Diceros bicornis minor: one gene and its partners. The protein of the gene in region 1 purifies or fractionates together with the protein of each later gene. This does not show direct contact. Links are inferred from orthologs where the notes say so. Each region holds a gene or a part of one and is shown on either strand. Other genes may lie near its edges.

Region 1 (3,745 bases):
CAGGCGGATGGAGATGCCCTTCTTCATCCTGAGCTGCCTTTGCGACTACCTTCGATAATCACCGCCTCATGCTCCAGGGCACCTGGCCCAAGGTGACTAGGCCTCCTGGGTACAGAGATCCACACGGAGCCATGCCAGGGCCAGATGGGGACTTTGCTGCCCCTGCTTCCTCCGTGGGGGGCTCCAGATAAGCCACCAGTCTTTGGCTCCTGCATCTGACAACCACACACCTCATGCACATTCTCTGGGCATTTCCATTTCAAATGCTCTGTCCTTCTGTTTGCACAGGTTCCTGTGTCGTATTTGGTGTTCCCATTTTTAATTGGGAAATAGGTTGCACGTAATTCTACCCACAGGCCTGGGTTGAGGCCATGGAGCTGCCGAGACCATCACCACTTCCCCAAGTGGGCAGCAGAAGTGGGGCAGCAGGGTGAGAATGCGCGGGACTTAGGGCCAGAACGGTGGCTCCAGGTTCTCCTCATGGCCCTGAGCCCTCCTCTCTGGCGTCCCCTTCCACATTTGTAACTGGAGGTGAGCCTACCTGTCTGTGACATCACCTTGCAGACAGCAGAGCAGCCTGCATGCAGTGACTGTTAGTATTGACTCTCCTTCTTGGGGGGCGCAGGAGAGAAGCAGGTGCGCCCCGCGGGCTCTCTGCGTGGAGGCGGGAAGAGCACCAACCAGGCAGCCGGCCCTGCGGGAGAGCTCGTGGGCGCAGTGCAGGGATTCTGAACCTTTCGGAGCTCAGGTTCCTGGCTTCAAAGTAGAAGGTAAGGACCCCTGTGCAGAGGTGTCCGAGCATTAATTGAGATACTAGGCGCCGAGCACGGCCAGGGCCGGCTAGACGCTCTGCACGCGTTAGCTGCCGCCCATCAGCGAGCGCCACAAGGAAGGAGGGACGCGATCCAGGACATGCCCATCCCAGAAGAAAGGTTAGGGCCCCGCTGCCCCTCCAATCCCGCATAGGAGCGGTGCTCCTCCCCGGAGGCGCCTCGCGGGGCGAGCTCGGGACGTGAACATGCGAGGGGCACGCTAGCCTTTCCTGTAGGTATCATCCTACTTCCGTTTTTAGAAAGTGCAGGACAAGAAGGGGACGCACCGGCCACCTTTGGCGTTCACGCTTTTAAGCAGGAAGCGCGCGCAGCACGCGGTCCCTTTAAGGCGTTGGGCCTGCCCGAGGCATTCTGCCCTTCGCCGCTCCCCGTAGCGCCCCTTCGAGAGGCTGGCTTTGTGCGCTCGCCCCGCCCCGACGCCGCCCCCCCCGGCGCACGCGCACTGCTGGCCCCGCGCCGCCCCGCCCCTGGCGCACGCGCACGCGCACTGCCCGCCCCGACGCCGCCCCGCCCCTGGCGCACGCGCACGCGCACTGCCGGCCCCGCGCCGCCTCGTCGAGCTAAGCCCGGCTCCCGCCCAGGCGGCGGCCGACGCAACGCCCGAGCGCCCGCCCCGCCCGGCGCGCCCGGAGGTAAGGGGGCCGCCCGCCCGGTGGGCACACTCGGGGGCGCGGGGCGGGCCGGCGCCGCCGCACCCCACGCCGCCCCGCCGCCGCACGTGTTGGCGGGCCCGGCCTCGGCCGCGGGCCGGCCCAGCCCCGGGCCCCGTGCGGGCGGACGGCCGCCCCGCCGCCGCCTCGCCTCGGGCGCCGCGCCCCCTCCTCCCGTCGGCCCCGGCCCCGCCCCTGCGGAGCCCGCCCGCACGCGCGGCCGCCCCCCGGCTGCCTCTCCCCGCGGTCGGTGACAAGCGCGAGGCCGGCACGGCGGCTCTGCCCTGCAGCCGGCGTGCCTCTCCGCTGTGCCTCCGCCGCTCCTCCGGGGAAGGACCCCAGGCCCCGGCCCCCCGTGCCTGCAGCCCTGACTGCCCCTCCTCTGCAGAGACGCCGCCACCCGACCTGCTGCCCACCCTCTGCCCGAGGCAGCCAGGCCCCCTCGCTCCTGAGGTCCCAGGACGGGGTCCCCGCGTGCCGGTCCGCTGTCACGAAGGGAGAGACCATCTCCTGTCTGGTCTGCTAGAGCCATTTTGAGGGAGGTGAAAGACTCCCTCTCTCCCTCCCTCCTAGCCTTCTCACCCGGTTTCTGCCCCCCAGGTCCGTTCACCGAAGCCCTGGCAGGTGCTGTGGTCGACACTGCCTCTGAGGTTGGCCCGCCCCGCACAAGGCAGATAGGTAAGCTGGAACGGAAGCGTGTCTGCGTGTCCCAGAACCGAGGCAGGGAGAGCCAGGTTCCCCCACTCTCTGTGGGTCTAAGGGGCTGCCGCCTTTGAGGCACCAGTTACGTCCTGTCTTCCCACACCTGTGGGCCCAGTCTCTGGGGGAGCCCAGGAATCTGCATTTTACAAGCAGTCTAGGAGAGCTCTCCAAGGTTTGGGAGGCTCGGCCTTAGGTGGTCAGGCTCACCTGGGAAAAAGCTGTGGGTGCAAAGAGGTGGCAGGTAGCACGTGCTCTGGGGGCCGACTCCCTATGGCCTTTCCTGCAGCCTGATTGCGTTCATCATCTCCAGTTCTCTTTCCTAAGGAGCTGGTCCCTAACCAGCTTCCCAGTTGTCTCAAAACGATTGTTCTGGGGCCCGCCTGGTGGCGTAGCGGTTAAGTTGGTGGGTTCCGCTTTGGGGGCCCAGGGTTTGCCGGCTTGGATCCTGGGCCCGGTCCTCCTCACTGCTCATCAAGCCATGCTGAGGTGGTGTCCCATGTAGAAGAGCTACAACTCTCCAACTATGATACACAACTATGTAGTGGAGCTTTGGGGAGTAAAAAGAAAAAAAGAGGAAGATTGGCAACAGATGTTAGCACCGGGCCAATCTTCCTCAAAGAAAAAGCAAGAAAAAAAGTATTAACAAAAAAGATTGTTCTACGGAATCATGAGTGTTTATGAAAAATGCCAAGCTCCCCCCTTCTTAAGTAGAAACTTGGAGCATTGAGTTAATTGATTGTATTCTTAAAAGTCTGGCTGATTTTTTGCAAGTTAATGTTTGCTAGCCTGGGATTGGGCTTGAGCTGGGAGGGCTGGGCACCTTTCCTGTAGGACCACGGCTGTAGCCTCTGGTCCTCACCTTGGGGCAGCCAGTTGTTTGCGGGAGTCACACTCCACCTCCTGGTGGGTCTCAATTTTTATGCTAAAAGGAGCTGCACTGGGTCCCCTGAGCTACCCTTTTCACCCCAGAGGAAGCCTCTTCTGTTCCCACTGGTGTTTTGCTTGGCGCCTGTGGTCCACTCTTCTCCACCCTCCTTGCTGTGGCCGGGCTTCTTCACACTGTAGGTTCTGTGAAACAGACTTTCCAGCTTTCTGCCTTAGCTCCTCTCTCCCTCCGCTTGTGCAGCCTACGAAGGGGAAGGCAGCCCTTGGGTTAACTGGCACAGCCCAGTTGCATTAAAGATAATCACCAGTAGCTGGTGGTTACTGAGCCCCAGCTTTGTGCCGACACTTCGTCCCTGGCAGGTTTCCCTGACCTGCCCCTCCGCTCCCCCACTTCAGGACTCGGGCTCTGGGTGCAGCGTGATCCGTCCCTGGGCCTGGAATCCTTGCTGCAGGTAACCAGCCGTGGCCGCACGTGTGCTCTGCACAGCCGTGTTGCATTGTGATGTCTCTTCCTTCCGCTTGGATGAAGGCTTTGAGACATGCTCTTTTTGGATGGCTCCCGTTTCGCCTTGGTGTGACGAGGAGCCTGTGCAAGCTTTCAGTGTTAAGCTCTGAGCGAGGATTCACAGTGTGTAAACTTGGTAGATTGATGGTAGTGTTGGCTTTCGGGAGTTG
Region 2 (3,745 bases), on another chromosome or scaffold:
GAAGGTGAGGCCTTAAATCTGCATGATAACCTTACTCTTGTTTACTGTGCTTTAGCGGTAATCTCCTGTAACTGACTCCCCCGGCCCCCAAAATCCTCCTGTCTTTAGCAAAAGATGATATTTAAGACAAGAATTTCTGCTATTGTGTTGAGAAACGCAGTGTCCCTGGTTTCTCCCATGTTTACATGTTATTAAAATTGGTATTATTTTCTCCTGCTAACCTGTCTTGTTAATTATTTGGCCAGCCATAAGAACCTAAGGGAAAGGGCAGAGGGGGATTCTCCCTCTTTCCCCAACATTATCAAATAGAAAAACCCTTACAACTAAAAACCCATGGGTTTGTGTTCACCGGCAGGAAGAAGGTGCTGGAGGGATGGGGTTCTAGTCAGCAGGCACACTTGGAGAGTAATAACAGATGCCTAAGGAAAAACAGGATGGGGCTGGGAGAAGAGATACAGGAGGCCCCCGAAGCTCCCTGCTTAGAAGAAATCTGGGCAGGATCATAGCCTGAGAACGAAAAGGGTTGGGAGAGCTTAGGATAAGCAGTTCCACGCACGGTTCGCATTCTCAAATCTATGGGTCTCAACTGCTGCGGGAAACAGGAGAGAGCGCGTCAGGCCTAAATGCCACCGTGGATCGAACGGGCCAGCGCCTCCCTCCCCCGCCGGGGCCTGCTCCGAGCAGGCGCCCAGTCGGCCCTCCCGCCAGGGCAGTCGCGCGGGTCGAACGCCCCACCGCCTTGGACTCCAGGCCCCCGCCCCGGCCCAGACCCCGCGGCCCACGGCGCGCTCCGCCTCCTCCCCGTCGCTTCCGACGCAGCCCGGCCGCGCGAGGGCGCCGGCGCCCGGCGGCGGCCGGAAATGGCCCCTCGCGGCTCCCGTCGCCGGACCTTCGTTGCTATTGTCACCTCCTTTTCCTCCCTTCCCCCGGTTCCCTTTCACTTCCGGGGTTGCTCTGGATCCGCTGGTTCCGTAACAACATCCCGTTGGCTTCCCTTAGGCGGCGGGACCTGTGCAGCCGCCGCCTCCCAGGAGCGCCCGCCCGCGCCCTCCCCGGCCCCAGGCCGCCATGGCCACCAACCCGCAGCCGCAGCCGCCTCCTCCGGCGCCGCCGCCTCCCCCGCCGCAGCCGCAGCCGCCGCCGCCACCACCGGGCCCCGGGGCTGGTCCCGGCGCGGGCGGGGCAGGCGGCGCGGGGGCCGGCGGCGGGGACCCGCAGCTCGTGGCCATGATCGTGAACCACCTCAAGAGCCAGGGGCTCTTCGACCAGTTCCGCAGGGACTGCCTGGCCGACGTGGACACCAAGGTTCGGGCGCGCGGGGCTGCGGGTGTGCGGGGGAAGGGGAGGACCCCGAGGGCCGCCTGCTCGAGCGGTCTCCCGCGCCCGTCGATGGGCCGGCTGCGCCTCGACTTCCCGGCCGGGGCCCCTCTCCAGCGCGCCTCTCCCCGAGTCCCCCGTGCAGCCGCTTCCTCTTCGCGCTGCTGCCCTGTGCCCGGCGCTGTGCAAGGCGCGGTGCGTTCATTCATTCGCCTGTGCGCCCGTTCGCTTAACCGACTAGTGGTGAGCACCTACTACGCTGCCGAGGCGCTGGGAACCTACCGCTGAGCAGGACCAAGTCGTTGTTCCCATGGAGACTCGTTTGGAAACACCAACGCTAACGGTGCTTTCATCTCTGATTAGTTTTCTTCCCGGTTTAGTTTGTATCCAAGTTATTTTTGCCTCCTCTCTTGAAGATTTCTGGGCGGTAAGGGTCATGTCTTTATTCTTTGGAGGAATTATTAAGTGATAATTGAGTCAGATTTGCAATGTGCATTTCTGGACATTGTAGGGATGCAAAGGTAGGGAGGCAGAGCTGGACAGTGGCAAGATGGGTTGGGGAGATCCGGGACTTTTGTTTCTACCAGTAACCGCTTCGTTTAGGTAGCTTAGGCCAAGTTACTCCTCTAAAGTGAGAAGGGAGGGAGAGGTGAGGAGTAGAGACAACTGAGCCATGCCGTGGGGGAAAGGATGGAGGAGAGGTGATAGCAGATATTGAAGTGGAGAAAGGACAGGACATGAAATGGAAGAAGAGTGAGTTGAGAGAGTAAGGGAGAGAGGGGAAAGGTCAGCAAAGTGGTTCCCTTCACAAAACGAGTTAGGGACTGGGAAGGGAAAGGGACTTTGTACCAAATGTCAGAGTGAGAGGGATGTTGGCAGAAACAGGTAAACTTAGCTGGTTTGGCAAAGAATGAGCAGAGGACACCAGGAAGAAGCCATCAGGTGAATTGGATGGAAAACCAGTAGGGTCTGGAATTCTGGAAGCAAGTGAAGCAGGAAGCTTCAGGTGGAAACAGTTGGAAAAGTGGGGGTGTTTTTGGTTTAGATCTGGTTGGATCCATGGAATTGGAGTTTTGATGGGGTGAGAGTTTCCTTGTAGCATGTTCGGCTGTTCTGAGGAGACTTGTTTCTTTGGGAAAGGGTTGTTTGCAACATACGCCGATTCTTCCCTGTGACTGTGTTCACCAGGCTTTGAGGTGAACTGCACAAAATCCCGCTGTCTCCTCTGGGAAAGCCCTCCTGACAATCTGGGGACATCTTCCCTTTTAAGGACTCTGGCCCACCATGTAGAACAGAAGTAAAATTTGCCTTTTCAGCATGTTGGAGTTTTTGCACACGGAGAATTCATTTTACATGGGGATGTTGATCTGTGTAGGAAGTATATAGTTTTCTCACTTTGTTTTAGAGAATATGCACAGCTACCTTTTTGAAAATAACTTTTGGAAAATAAAGAGGCTTGTTGCCTCTTTCTTTTTTTTTTAATGGAAGATTAGATTAGATGTGGCCAGGTAAATATTACCCAAATACACCTGGTTATTTGTATCGGGCAAGTAAAGATTTCATTTTGCTGTTCTCAGAAACCTACAGATCTCTGTTATCACTGTATATGCAAATTGAAAATTTAAATATACTGATGGGGGTGCTGCAGTATCTAAGGTTCAACTTTTTCTTCATCCCCATCCCCACTAAATGTTGTTGTTGTGTGCCAGATCCTCTCAAGGTGGAGCCTTCGAACCTTTCTTGGGAGGAAGGAGGGAAGCACAATTGCTTTGACAATCTGATGAAAGCTAGGACCTTCTCCCAAGAAGAATGCACATATACACATTAAAATGCTGTTTTTATAATTCAAAAATGGTCAACTATAGGCAATTTCATGTGATTCAACCTTATAGTTTCAGGGAATTCAGGGACCGCAGAATAAAGATTCCTTGTTTTAATGTTTGAGGCTAGAGAAGAACAGAACTGAAAGGATACCCCCACCCTGACAGAAGGGGGTGCCTGGGTATGGTTGAGATTGAAGTTCTCTCCTCACTCTTCATGTGTGCTCGCTCTCTCTCTCTCTCTCTCTCTCTCTGTCTCCGTCTCTCTCTCTGTCTCTCTGTCTCTCTCTCGTCTTTCTACCTCTGCACCTGTTGTTTCTGATTTTCTTGCTTCTTTCCCCGTTGACTATCTCCTTTTTCCTCCTCCTTCTCCTCCTGCTTTTCGTCCTCTTAGCTAGCAATTACGTAGATTTCAGTTTAAAATATTTGCTTTTGTTGAGTAGTGCTTTATACTCCTTTTCCTTATCTAAAAAAAAAGAGTAAGTTTGAGAGTCTCAAGAAACATACAAAAACCAAAGTTTTTTTTCATATAAGCTTAACATTCCTATCATTGTGATGAGTGGGCCAGAGTAGAAATAAGATTTCCTATTTGTGCACAGGAGCATCAC
Region 3 (3,745 bases), on another chromosome or scaffold:
TAAATACGTGTTGATGAATACCTGAATACCCAGAGAAGAGACAAGCAGAAAACAGTTATCAAAACAGCAAGGGTGGAATGAAAAACATTCCGAACTATTTAAAAATTACTGGCAAGTGAGTGGCAGGTAGTAACACTTCAGTTATATTCTACTTCGATCAGACTATTTGTCTACCAGACAACTCTGATCTAAACAAATACGTGCCTCCAGAAGAACACTTACTTCTCTGTTTACATTTATATCTAAACTAAACATATTAAAAAGAGAAATCACCCTTGTTCCCTTGGGGTCCGTCAAAACGGTAACAGACCCTGAGGCATGAGTCCCCTTTGGGCATTTTCATAATCAACAACAAAAAATAGAATTATATAGTGAGCAGCATGTCCTCCTCACTCGACTGACTTGGGTACTTTAAAATCCACTGTATGGTTAACTATAAATTGTTGTATCGGCTCCATATTGGATATACCCGGGGGAGCATCCGAGCCGTTTCCAGAAGCAAAGACGCTTTGCGCACGGACGCCCTATTTCCGGAAATCACCCGGAAGCCTAGACGCTGTCCCGCCCCACGGCGATCCGGTGAAAGTTCTGGCTCAGCGACGGGGGTGGCGGCAGGACCTACGTCTTTCTTGGAACCGTTTTCTCTAAATTTTCTCAAACCAATAACTGTTTATGAAACACTGTCACTTTTAACGCGTAAAGCCAACTTCTCGCGAGAAGCCAAATCACGCCGGATAGCGTAATTGTGCGTTGCGCCTGCGCGCGCTGGGGCAGTTCGTACTTCCGCGTGAGGCGTGCTGTCACTCACAGCCGCTGGCCGCCTCGCGCAGTGACGTAGTGCTTTCTCCTCCGCTACGTCTGCAGCTCCGCCCAGAGGTTTGTCTCGCTGCGGAGCTGCAGCTTGGCGCTGGGCGCTGCGGGTCCCGGTGAGCTTTCGTGCTGCCCATCCTGGGCCATTTCATTGATAAGCAGTAGCGGATCGCTTTGCTACGAGCCGGGAAGAACAAAGGAATCAGGAAGGAGACGCTCGGCCCGGCCGCCTCGCGCCGAGTTGCTGCTGCTTCCGCTGGCTCCTGTCTGGATAAGCTGGGTTTATAGTCGTCACTCGATTGTAAGTACCCGAGGCGAAGAGAGCTCACTGCGCTCCGCTTTTTGAATATCTTTGTTCCGGGACCTTTTGTGGATTGGGAGTGTCTGCTGGGCCTTACTTTCTGTGCCGAAAATCTTTCTGCAGGAGCCGCCATTTGCTTTCTTGCTAGCTTGCTCTCTCTGCATTGTTCGGCAGCGGCATCTAGAGGTTGGAACTTGGCATTGCAGCTAGTAGATCTAAATGGACCGAACTGAATAAGTCATGGTGTCAGTAACCACTGGTATTCAGGCACAGAATATTTAGAAAGACTTGGGGCTTAATTCAAAATTAAGAGAAAATAGATGCTTAGCTGCTGTACTACCGAGAACTATTTGTAATTAAAGATTTCCATTCATAGCAAACAGGTCTTTCTAACTGCTGCAATAGCTGGAACTTTTTAGTGCAACAAGTGGTTATTGGAGAAGTGAGTCTGAAAGAAATAAAGATGAGTAAGAGCAAAGATGATGCTCCTCACGAACTAGAAAGCCAGTTTATCTTACGGCTACCTCCAGAATATGCCTCTACTGTGAGGCGGGCAGTACAGTCTGGTCATGTCAACCTGAAGGACAGACTGACAATTGAGCTACACCCTGATGGGCGTCATGGAATCGTCAGAGTGGACCGGGTCCCACTGGCCTCCAAATTGGTAGATCTGCCGTGTGTTATGGAAAGTCTGAAAACCATTGATAAAAAAACTTTTTACAAGACAGCTGATATCTGTCAGATGCTTGTCTCCACAGTTGATGGTGATCTGTGCCCTCCTGTGGAGGAACCAGTTGCTACTGCTGATCCCAAAGCAAGCAAGAAAAAGGATAAGGACAAAGAGAAGAAGTTTATATGGAACCATGGAATTACTCTGCCTCTAAAAAATGTCAGAAAGAGAAGGTTCCGGAAGACAGCAAAGAAGAAGTATATTGAATCTCCAGATGTGGAAAAAGAAGTGAAGCGGTTGCTGAGTACAGATGCTGAAGCTGTCAGTACTCGTTGGGAAATAATTGCTGAAGATGAAACAAAAGAAACAGAAAATCAAGGCCTTGATATCTCTTCTCCAGGAATGTCTGGCCACAGGCAGGGCCATGACTCACTAGAACACGATGAGCTTCGGGAGATATTCAATGATCTCAGCAGCAGCAGTGAAGACGAAGATGAGACACAGCATCAGGATGAAGAAGATATAAACATCATTGACACTGAGGAAGATCTGGAAAGACAGCTACAGGACAAGCTAAATGAATCAGATGAACAGCACCAAGAAAATGAGGGAACTAATCCGCTGGTTATGGGAATTCAGAAACAGATTGATAACATGAAAGGCAAGCTCCAGGAGACACAGGACAGGGCAAAGCGACAGGAAGATCTCATCATGAAAGTAGAAAACCTGGCCCTCAAGAACAGGTTTCAGGCTGTGCTGGATGAACTCAAACAAAAGGAAGACCGAGAAAAGGAGCAGCTCAGCTCTTTGCAGGAAGAGCTAGAATCACTCCTAGAGAAGTGAGAAGAGCTTTGATACTGAATTTCATTCCTTAGACTAGTCAACATTAAAGGAAAGTTCTTGGCTTCATCACCTGGACTAGATATTATAATTTTGCAATAGTTCTGATTTCCTCCACTGCCTTCTATTGTGTTTGTTTTATAAACAAATATAAATGTGAATTTCTATTTCATTTGTCTCTCAGAACCACTTTGCTAGGTGTTTGTCCTGTAAAAAGTAGGAATGTATAGACAGATAAGTGATTGTAGGAAAGTTGTAGGGTTAGTGGAATGAACAGTTCAACCTTAGTAATCACAGCCTCACTGCAGGACTTTGCTGCTATTTCTCCATTTGCCAAAAGCTGGTGTTGCTGCTTTGTGGTGACATCTGAGATCAATAAGAGTCTAGTCTGGAAGCAGTGAAGCTAGTTTGCATATGTTTTCCTATGCAGTAGCTATTTTCCTAGCTATTCCAAGCAATTTTCCACATGTAGAGTTGCAAATAGTTTCTTAAAGTTGTTTTAACACAATAAATAAAAGCAACTAATTTTCACCTCATAATGTGTCTTCCTTTTTTAGGGGTAGTGGGTGTGTCAGATCCTCTTATAAGGTGGTTTCTTGGTGGGATTTAATGACTGAGCAATTTGATCGTGTTTTGTAGGGAAAGAAACAGTTATGTTGGGTTTTAGGGAAAACCCAACAGCGGGGGGCAAAGAAATTGGGAAATGTCATCTTTGCATTATATTAAGTTTCCAATCCACCTGCTCCATTTGGAAGTTAGGAAACACTAGGTACAGAACCTTCCTAAACTACCCTAATTTTTGTACATGTAGGTCTATTTTTATCTTTTTTTTTTTTAAGTACTACACATCTGCTTAAAATATTAGAAACAAAACAAAGTAAGGGCTATCAAGTACTGTTCATTGAATCATTCCATTGGTTTGGATTAAGATTGTATTTCTAAATATTTTCAACTTAATTTCTGCAATTATTTAATATTCTGAGAACTGAAGTGATTTGTCCATGTCAGTTGGTCAAAATTGCTCATAAAGGAAGTCAGTACTGTAGTCTGATATTTCAGAATTTCTTAAACATAATTTTCATGTTCTTAAACTTTCCAGGCTCTCAAGATTCTAATGCCTCACA

Evidence for each region.
Region 2: the proteins of WDR5 (region 1) and BOD1L1 purify together in Homo sapiens (affinity purification with mass spectrometry; 4 studies listed by BioGRID and IntAct, counting the BioPlex papers as one, with this or other methods). This does not show direct contact. The link is inferred for Diceros bicornis minor from reciprocal best matches to the Homo sapiens genes WDR5 and BOD1L1.
Region 3: the proteins of WDR5 (region 1) and TAF7 purify together in Homo sapiens (affinity purification with western blotting; 3 studies listed by BioGRID and IntAct, with this or other methods). This does not show direct contact. The link is inferred for Diceros bicornis minor from reciprocal best matches to the Homo sapiens genes WDR5 and TAF7.

The regions. Positions count from the first base shown.
Region 1 is NC_080767.1:41,024,769-41,028,513, forward strand, and holds the start of WDR5 (WD repeat-containing protein 5), read left to right. Parts: upstream 1-1,404; 5' UTR 1,405-1,465; intron 1,466-2,083; 5' UTR 2,084-2,161; intron 2,162-3,466; 5' UTR 3,467-3,522; intron 3,523-3,745.
Region 2 is NC_080747.1:10,457,610-10,461,354, reverse strand, and holds the start of BOD1L1 (biorientation of chromosomes in cell division protein 1-like 1), read left to right. Parts: upstream 1-969; 5' UTR 970-1,068; coding exon 1,069-1,305; intron 1,306-1,415; exon of another isoform or gene 1,416-1,627; coding exon of another isoform or gene 1,628-1,744; intron 1,745-3,745. UniProt on the Homo sapiens protein: Component of the fork protection machinery required to protect stalled/damaged replication forks from uncontrolled DNA2-dependent resection.
Region 3 is NC_080740.1:59,489,528-59,493,272, reverse strand, and holds TAF7 (transcription initiation factor TFIID subunit 7), read left to right. Parts: upstream 1-866; 5' UTR 867-1,111; intron 1,112-1,234; exon of another isoform or gene 1,235-1,487; 5' UTR 1,488-1,574; coding exon 1,575-2,624; 3' UTR 2,625-3,152; downstream 3,153-3,745. UniProt on the Homo sapiens protein: The TFIID basal transcription factor complex plays a major role in the initiation of RNA polymerase II (Pol II)-dependent transcription.